Linked DNA regions of Saccharomyces cerevisiae S288C. Changing the gene in region 2 together with the main gene of any one other region gives a genetic interaction. Each region holds a gene or a part of one and is shown on either strand. Other genes may lie near its edges.

Region 1 (3,970 bases), on a different chromosome or scaffold from region 2:
TCGTTTAGAGTTGGTTTAGAATACTTACTCAAAGTCATGTTGAAATAGTAGTTTGTAAAATTTGCTTTTAATGTAGCTGGTTTTCTAGCTTAATTGATCAAATAAGAACAGAACAATAAAGGACGTTGCGAAATAATATCTATTGATCTCTGACGAGTATTTATACCCTATTTCCTCTCCATTACTGATGGTGATGTGATGTGATGTGGTGCTATCTTGTCACCCTTAATCCATTGGCCGCCTTTGCTAATCCCGCGCGCATTTTCCCTTTATCACCACCACGCCGTGCGATGGACTTGAAGTATTTACTATTGATAAAATAATACTGAGAGATTAAAGACAATGTACTGAATATAAACTATAGCACTTCAACGACCGCGGGCCTGAAGCGGATTAGGAATTAAAATAATTATTATAGAGATTGGGTAAAAAAATGTAAATATTTCTGGCAAAATATTGTAACTCAACTGTAAGAGGACAGCCGGAAAAAAAGATTCAGTTCATGACCTTGCATTTACCTTTGCCCTCTCCGGTGGGTTAATTTCCTGCGTTGTAGTCCCGCCCGGAAGCCTTTCCAATTGCTCCACCGTATCACTTACAGCTGGAACGCGCCCATTGCTAGGCCTTGTTAAACCGTAATCCGTATCTAAAGAGTTAGCTTGGTGAACTACAGCAGCGGGAGGTCTTTCTAAAGAATTAACAGATTCTGATGAACATTCTTGTACCAATGGCGGGGGGGCCACGTATGCAGCCTTATCGTTGGGGTGAAACTCGCCCCGCTGGTCATAGTATCCAAGATCATGTTCGTTCGCTGTTTCTGTATACTCAGGAACATAATCATCTGTCCGTTGCTGAACGGTCCCAGTATATTGTTGCTGAGACTGTCTGTATGAAGGCGGTGTCAACCATGCCGTACCTCTAATGGGAGCACGCCCCATCCTTCGTCTCCTTCTGTTCGCTACAAAAGTGAACAGTATTATAAGGATTACTGCGGCAACAAACAGCACAAACAAAATCCATATTCCTGACTGCCATGACGACGATGATGGCCCATAGTAACTAGTCACAAATTTGCTAACGTGATGGTTATCTGCCTTTTTCACCTCGTTTATCGCCTCATTTTCGTATGAAATAAGTCCCATTCCTTATTCTTAATTCGAGTTATACTTTCCTATTTATTGGAATGATCAATAAGCTATTACAGGTGCCTTTTCTGCATGAGCTTCCTGTCGGTCATTTAAATACTTAAAATAGAAAATCCCTTTTAAATCAAACTTTTTTTTTCAAGGCTTAGTTGAAAAAAAAAGTAAGCCTCATCATCGAAAAAAGACATAAAAGAGAGGCTTCGAGAGAGGAGGCGGAATAAGACTAAATTAAAATATGATTGTGGGGTTGACACTTTATTTTGTATTATTCCGTTCAATACAGTATTTACTGGTTTTTTTGACTCCAATTAGGCAGTTTGATACATCAACATCACTTTTATTAAACGAATTATGTTCTTCTCCCTCTGAAATCAACAGTTATTGGAACAAGTATTTTTGGAATAAGCTACTATCATGGGACAGTGTTTTTTTTATCAAGAACATAACTTCCAAAAACGGAAAACCTCAATTTGAGCATGAATACGCGTTTTCTCAGTTGTGGACTTTTTTCGTTAGGCTGTTTATTAAAAGTAATAACGATAGCATCTACCATGCCTTAAGGGTTGGAGTTGCAATAGAAAATGTTTTATTTTACTTGTCAGGTATTGTTTTATATTTTCTAACAAAAAAAATTTTCAGCCAAAATATAAGGCAATCACAGTTTGCTAGAACTATCGCTAAAAAAACATCTCTGTTGTTTTTCTTAACGAGTGCCGCTGGATTTTTAACAAGCATATATTCTGAACCATTATCTTTTTTTTTTGCATTTGTTGGTATTTGGAGTCGTGAATGCTCCATTTCCGTGCCCGTATTGGGTCAATTCGATATTTCGTGGAGATATTGGTTTCCTTACTCCTTTATCAGCATGGCTTGCTTTACCTTAGCATCCTTGAATCGTTCAAACTGTGTTTTGTTAGGGATTTACTTTATTTTTGACCTTATTGAACTAACAAAGAACAGGAAGTTTGTAAAAGCAATATGTTTCCCACTATTATCAGGATCATTAATGTTTTCTGCTCTACTATATCAACAATATTACCTACCATATAAGACATTTTGTCCTCAAAGGGGTGAATGGTGTAAATCTCAATTGTTTTCAAGCATTTTTATCACGAAAACTTCTTTATATTCCTACATTCAGAGTCATTATTGGGGAGTTGGGTTATTGAAATACTGGACCCCAAACAACATCCCAAACTTTTTGTTTGCTGTCCCAAATATTATTATTTTAATCTATTCCTCCATATATTTCAGCAAAATTTATCCCTCCTATAACTTGAAGGCTCTCGTATGGATCACCAGAGCACTGGTCGTCATAGTATGCTTTTTTGCCCATGTCCAAATTCTGAATCGTATAGCCTCCTTTTTACCCTTGCACCTTTGGTATTTGGCTGATAGATTGGTTAAAACTTCTGATCCAAAAAAAATGGAAAATCCGAAAGGTGACGATAAGATAGTCAAGTTTTACATATACTGGTTGGCATTCTGGATACCTTTACAGACTATCCTATTTGCAGCTTTTTTACCACCAGCCTGATCCTTAATGCTTGTATATTTCTTCTTTTACTAAAAACATATAAAAACTATTTACATATAGAATATAGAATAATGCGACACTATGACCTTCTTCATTTTCTCTTTATTCTTCACCCTTTATTTGAAATTTCAAGGTTTACTTTCTTCTTGTTAGTATACTATTAGTTAAAAACTCTAGGGCAGAACGAGCATCAGATTCAGGAAGAGAATCCCGTAGATTTTGTAATGCCTTGTCCCTATATTCCTCCGCTAGTATTTTCGTCTTCGCTATACCATTATGGAGTCTCACAGAATCAATAGTTTTTTCAACATCACCCCTCTCTGAAAAATTGCGTGAAATTAGTGGACCTAAAGATGGGTCTTCTTTCCATGCAAACAAGACTGGAGCAGTAGCAATACCTAATTTTAGATCCGCGCCGGATGGCTTCCCTAAATCTTTTCCAGACACAGTAAAATCAAGCATATCATCTACGAGTTGGAAACATATACCTAGATTTCTACCGAAATCATAGCATTCGTCGATAACGGCAGGTGATGCCCCAGATAATATAGCAGCACATCTGCAAGATTTTGATATCAAAGCAGCAGTCTTCAGATAGGTCTTGTGTATGTAGTATTCAAATGCAGTTTCTATAATCTGATCATGAGATAATTGCAGCCCCTGTTGGCGGCTTGGAACACGAAAGTCGTGCTCTTTAACTTCAAGCTTTTTAGAAGGAACCGGAAGTAGCTTATGGCCATTTTCGATGGTATCGATATCCGCGTCAATGGAAGTATTTTTCAGTTGCATGAACTCACCTTCGACAAGATTCGCAATACTATTAGACATTAGTTCTACGACTTCGGGGTTGTGTAATCTTGAAATTGACACTGTTGCTCTCCCTAAGAGAAAATCACCCGCCAAAACGGCCATCTTGTTGGTAAAGGCAGCATTTCCGCTTGGCCTTCCTCTTCTTGTATCAGAATGATCAATAACGTCATCATGAAGTAAAGACGCAGTGTGTATCATCTCTACAATCTCTGCTAATCTTCTCTGTTTGGGTAAAATCCCTCTTTGTTTGTCAAAAGTTTCTTCTGGCAAAGGCTCAGGACCTTTTGTCAAGGGATTTAGTGGTTTAATACCGTGAAGAATATGTAGTGGGGATATGCTACTTGCAGGACGTTGAAATAGTTGATTTTGACTAGGTTTAGAGTAAATTGGGTCCTCAGGAACATCCGACTTGTCAATTTTCAAGTGATTTCTTTCTGTCATGGGAATTTCAGAAAGTGCTCTTGACAACAACAACACT
Region 2 (6,180 bases):
TCTAAGACTCGATATCGTTTTGCGGTGTAGGCACCAAATTTAGTTGTTTACTTTGCACTGTCGCATTATTTTTCTATAAATTGAGCTTTTTATAATGAGATATGATCCGGAAACAGCTTTCTGAAGTGCATATGTTATAGTTAATATTAAGAATTTTTTGAGACTTTATTATGTTACCATGATTGCATTATCTTTTAATGTTAACAGTAACAAGTTTACGTATCGCTTTAAAACATAATTACATTCAGAGGTCGGAATTTAGAGCCAATAAAATTTTTAGAGCATATGTTGACGGTTTTAAATTACTCCCAACTGCGCAACAACACCTTATTTTCTTTTTGCCATATTTTAATATTTATTAGCATTTGGGAAATATTTAAAAAAAGAAAAAAATCAGCTTTTTATATATTTCTTTTAATTTAGTAAACCTCATTCTCTTTTCCTACATAAGTAATAAAACGTTGACCACTCTATTTTTAAAGGTACATTCAAATCTTCACAATGACAGATTTCTTTGAGCTCGTTAATGAATATATCGGCAATATCCGGTTTCGAGGGATTATCTCTAGCCCAAGAAGTGTATATGCTCCAGCTTTTCACAAACTCTTTAAATTGATTGAGAGTAATAGCTGCTCTCCAGAGAAACTGACTGTTTTCAGCCGTTACTGTTGATGCATTTGGGTCCGAAGGACTGTAAATTGTGACTTCAATATCTCCAAATCGATCTGACAATAAAGAACGTAGCTTTTCACCACCGTAATTCAACAAAATTTCCCGTTGGTTGTCGTTCAGATATTTACCCATATAATCCTTGCTCCATCCATATTTGTAATATACATTCAAGGCTTCGGGAAAGTCCACAAATTCCGGCTGAATATAAAACCAGAATGCAAAAGTTCCATCACTTCGTAATATAGAGGAAACCTGCTGAAACAGCCTTTCTAAATTGCACCAATGGATGGCTTCTGCTGAAATAACCATATCTACACTTTCTGGTCGAATGCTGGATAAATCTTCACCAGGCGCATTAATAAATCTAATCTTTTTATCTAATCTACGTTCATTTGTTTCTTTCTCAGCAATCGAAAGCATAGCAGAAGAAGGATCAATCCCAATCACTTCCTTAAAATAGGGTTCAACGACAAAAGTTGCTTTTCCTGTGCCACATCCAATATCAACCAAACTTTTGCGTGTGCCTTTGTGAAATTTCATTATCTCATTGACTAAAGATAAAGGGTAAGAGGGACGTACGTTATTATAGTGAGCAGATTCAAAATTTTTGTTTAAATAACTAGTTTTAGGCATTCTGGATTCTTCCATTGACAGAAGACTGGCTTTGAAGATGTACTGAGTGTAAAAGGGTTAACTTGAATTTGCCCCTTTAGTTCGTGCCGTTTGTTTATGTTTATATACGTTCCCTTGGGGCCGCTAATTAGAATGCTAAATATAGATCGTGGAAAACTTTCACTACAAAGCTTCTCGTTGTTGTGTTGGCTGAACATATACTAATGAACTGTTTAAATCAGGATTATGGACCGGTGAGGGAACATAATCATCTCTTCATGCCTGAACCTGTATGCCACGATGATGGAAGGCATACCATTATTCATACTGTACTTGCACCTCTTCTGAACTACGCTAGAATTTATTCTTCAGAAAATACCAGGGATATCCTTATAGATTTTTTTTTTTTGGCATAATCAACTCTCTTGGGTATCTTGCCGCATTCATTTTACATGTAAAGTCCAGCGAGATACCTTGGCAACTAAATTACAAGCAGTCTCTATGAAATTCAATAATGTGCCAAGTTGTTAGGTCAACAATTTCAAAAAGCGTAAGAAGCCGCACAATGGCTTGCATAAGCTATAATAATAATAGTAATCCAATATTTCTTATAATAAATAAACTCAACAGGAATTGTAAAAAAGTATGTATCTATGTGAATAAAGTGAGAGAAAAACAGATCCTCTGAGAGGAATTCTCGTTTTTTTTTTTTGGGGGGGGAGGGGATGTTTACCTTCATTATCATTAGTTCAAGTCGGCAACAGTTTTTGACCAGTTACCATAATTGACTCTACCGTATTGGATATCAGCAATCCATTGAGCAACTTGCTTGGTCAATGCACCACATTGTTCACCAGGCAATAGTGGAACATGAATATCTTCGTTGTTCCAGCCAATTTCCTTGATAGGTGAAACGACAGCAGCAGTACCAGAACCGAAGGCTTCTAATAGTTCACCTTGTTTTGCTCTAGTGGCGACTTCAGTAATAGTGTAATAACGCTCGTTGATGTCCCATTCTTGAGGATCTAGTTTGTCACGAGCCAATGTTAAAACAGAGTCTCTGGTAACACCTTCTAAAATGGTACCATCTAATGGAGCGGTAACCAATTCCTTCTTGCCAGTGACTTTGTTGAGGAAAACGAAGAACACGTTCATAGTACCAACCTCAGTGATGTTCTTTTCTGGGCCGAACAACCATAGATTTTGTTGGTACCCTCTTTTGGCAGCTTGTAGTTGAGGTAAGATGCATGGGGCATAGTTAGCACCCAATTTTTTGTCGCCAACACCACCTGGCCAAGCTCTTGTAGCATAGTCTGTTGCTTCAAGACGTACGGCTTTGAAACCAGTCTTATAATAAGGACCGACTGGAGAAGTAATAACATAAAGAAGAGCCTCGGAGGGAGTGCCAACACCTAAACCCTTGGATGTACCAATCATTGTTGGTCTGATGTATAATGAGTAACCATTACCTTGAGGAACCAAGTGTTTATCTTGTTCGATCAATTTCCCGGTAAGTTTGATCAATTCTTCAGATTCGAAAGTTGGCAAACAAATTCTAGCGGCAGACTTGTTCATACGGGCCATGTTCTTATCCGGACGGAACATGGTGATAGTATTTTGAGGAGTTCTGTAGGCTTTCAAACCTTCAAATAATTCAAATGCATAATGGAATACACAAGCAGATGGGTCAAGAGAAAGATTACCGTAAGGCTTGATGTGTGGAGTGCCCCACCCTTCTTTGGCTGACCAAGGAATGGTCAACATATGATCGGTGAATGTCTGGCCGAACACTAATTCTTCATTTGGTCTTGGCTTGGATGGATTTGGGTTTCTAGTAATTTTTAGTTTGGATGCATCTAATGGGGCACCAGTAGCGAGTGTTCTGATGGAGAATTTCCCCAACTTCAAGGAATGTCTCTGCAACATGTTTTAGTATGCTAAGGTTCTAGCTGATTTTGCGTTTATAGGGTGATTTATTCTAACGAAAACATGTAGTTGTTACCACTAGCTCTCTTTATAGTGCCATTTTTTTCAGATGCTTTTTTTTTTTCAAAGCTTAAAGGCCGGTACCGGCAAACACAATAGAATTTTGAGTCATAAGAAGGCAATATGGATCGGATGGGCCATTAAACAAAAAGAGAGCCAATTCATCAGTAATAATAGCGACAGCCGGTATGAAATCTGCACAAAGTATCAACCGCCTGGCCTCTATCAGTAAGATCATTCAATCAACCGTACACGCGGTACTTATCCAGCGTTAACATTTACGCTTTACAGTTCAGCTAAAAAAGAACACATTATCTAGTTAATGCCTGGGAAGGCCCTGGCAAGATACACTTTATCTAAATTATCTACTGCTCGCAAGGCAATGCTATCAATTTGAGAAGTGCAGAAGGAAATGCCATCAAGCTTGTGGTGCGCATTTCACTTTTAAGGATAATAACAGAATTTAATGGCTTGATATGGACGGGCGGTTTGCGAGCCTTACTATTGATAGGAGTATTCGTCAAGTCCAGGGCGCCAATGTGACTTATCGCGCTGTGGGTGGGTAATTCTACCTCAGTTTGCTTCTCGAGGAGTTTGTAGCATAAATCTCGTTAGAATAGTCAAACATACGGTATCTTTCTTTCTCTTGAAAAATTAGTACAGTCTACAAGTTTTCCTCATTGGCTTTCAGACGAGCATTTGATTGTCAAGTACTTTCCGGACCACCTGCGATAGTTTCCCTTGTCTACTTGAGCAGATATGCTCTTACTGACTAGCAAGAATGATAACAAATTTTATCAGTAAACCCTTTCCTTGCCGTAATTTTTTTTATTTTAGCTTCGTAATTTTTTTTTTCGTATTATTTTTCTTTTTCTTTTTCTTTCTTGATATCATAATCATGGGGAACTTCTCCATATAACAATAGAAGCTAAATAGGTAAATAACCAAGCGTGCACTGATACAAAATAACGAAAAGTGGCACAAAAATGACATTGACTATCAAAATAGGAACCTTAAACGATAGCGATCAATCTGCAGTGCATAATGGTACAGAAAATGGCTCTGATTTTCGAAAGATAACTCCCACAGAGGAAGAGATCTGTGATGACGTAGTTTTGTTATGGAAGGAAGAGCCCGGAACTGAAGACGCTACGATTCAGCATCTTTATGACAGGATTACGGAAAGAAATCAATCGTGGAAATTGAGTGCTTCTCGTTTTCGAAAAATTCTAAATGAGCACCATCTTTATGACACAGATCTAGAGACCGTTTCTCTATATAAAGATAAAATACATTTTCCAAAAGCCCTAGATTCTGATGCTAAGGTCGAAGTGAAATTTATTGATGACGAACATGGAAGGGGCCTTTTCGCTAAAAGAGATTTTTCCAAGGGCCAAATCATCCTGAAAGAAAATAAACCTATCGTATATATTCCACCACTGGACAAGCTTTTTTTAATATCTAATGGAAAGGCATGTGCTCGATGTGGTAAGGCGCTATATGATTTGACCCAGCACAAAATTATGGTCCATTATTTGGATTGTGAAGTTTGCAAAGCTATTTGGTGCAGTGAAAAATGTAAAAAAGCACATGCGTCGTTACATGAGCTTTTATACCACTCATGGAGATCGAATAGAATAGACATTCTTCATGCTGGTAATTGGAAAAGATTTGTTAACTACTGTGAGAAATATTGTTTTACCGCTGCCTTTTCAGTTGGTCTTATATATGGATCCATGCTTTTGGATACTACAGGAGAGGTCAAAGAGCAATGGCAAAAATTGGCAAGCATCTCACAAAGGGAAAGAATTAAATTAAGAGACGCCAGCGGTATCGGCAGTACGTTTAGTTTACTGAATGGTACAACTGTACATACTGAAGAGGAATCTGATAATGGTACCAAAAAGGGCGTTGAGAAGAATATTGATGACGAGACTGTTTGGGAGAAGTGCTACGAATTATTTTGCGGTGCATTTCCAAAAGCTTCTGAAGAAATAGATTTCGAGAAATTTTTGACCATGATCGGGACGTTCAATATCAATCAATATAACGGCCAGGTATATCATTGGATCTCCTTCATAAACCATGATTGTGAACCAAACGCCTATATTGAGCAAGTAGAAGAACATGAGGAACTGAGGTTGCATGCAAGGAAACCAATAAAGAAGGGGGAACAAATACGTATTACGTACGTCAATCCCTTACATGGGGTGAGGTTGAGGCGTAGGGAATTAAGAGTTAACTGGGGCTTCTTATGCCAGTGTGACCGCTGTCAAAATGAACTATCTACATTTGAAAGAGTTCCAAATCTAGAGAAAAAGAATGCGGATGCTAATTTAGGAGTAGAAAAAATAGATTCCAATGATAGTAGTGAAGATGGCTCTAAGAAATCAACTGGTAATCGTAAATCTTCCATGAGAGAGGCCCAGCCAGATTTAAAAGAAATACTGAAGAATGGAAAAGAATTTGAATTAGACATACCAGAAACTGTTGATACACAAGGGAATGTAAGAAAAACCTCAGTCAGATTCGATTCAAACGTTTCGGTCGCAGTGGATGAAAGATAAGAGATAAACGCATACTAAATTACTGTGTCTGTTATTGTTTTTGGCTATATATATATATATATATATATATATATAGTAAATATAAGAAAAACAAAGAAAAAAGAAATGAGAGTGAATTTGAGAGCGGCAGAAAGAAATAAAATTCAAACATTTTGATGTAGATAACTGGAAATAACTGAAGGGGATAAAATATTGAACGAAAAGAAAATGATAATCCTCCAAGATCACATAATAAATATAAAGAAACTCCTCAGGAATACAGAATGTCCTCTGCTAACTTAGACGCAAGGCTATTTGTAAAATTTTATGATAGCTGGTTTTCTTGAAGTGTAGATTGTGGTAA

Evidence for each region. Genes that interact genetically often act in the same process or in processes that back each other up.
Region 1: mutations in BAT1 (region 2) and RCR1 together harm fitness more than expected from each alone (negative genetic interaction), as found in Saccharomyces cerevisiae (2 studies listed by BioGRID).

What each region holds. Positions count from the first base shown.
Region 1 is NC_001134.8:243,078-247,047, reverse strand, and holds RCR1 (Rcr1p), read right to left. Parts: upstream 1,143-3,970; coding exon 501-1,142; downstream 1-500. Other genes in the region: UGA2 (succinate-semialdehyde dehydrogenase (NAD(P)(+))), read right to left, coding at 1-38; GPI-anchor transamidase GPI18, read left to right, coding at 1,381-2,682; COQ1 (trans-hexaprenyltranstransferase), read right to left, coding at 2,818-3,970. UniProt on the Saccharomyces cerevisiae protein: Regulates chitin deposition in the cell wall.
Region 2 is NC_001140.6:514,562-520,741, reverse strand, and holds BAT1 (branched-chain-amino-acid transaminase BAT1), read right to left. Parts: upstream 3,211-6,180; coding exon 2,029-3,210; downstream 1-2,028. Other genes in the region: YHR210C (aldose 1-epimerase superfamily protein), read left to right, coding at 1-30; CRG1 (S-adenosylmethionine-dependent methyltransferase), read right to left, coding at 430-1,305; SET5 (S-adenosylmethionine-dependent methyltransferase), read left to right, coding at 4,257-5,837; kinase-regulated stress-responsive transcription factor SKN7, read right to left, coding at 6,142-6,180. UniProt on the Saccharomyces cerevisiae protein: Mitochondrial isozyme of branched-chain-amino-acid aminotransferase, involved in the biosynthesis of the branched chain amino acids (BCAAs) leucine, isoleucine, and valine.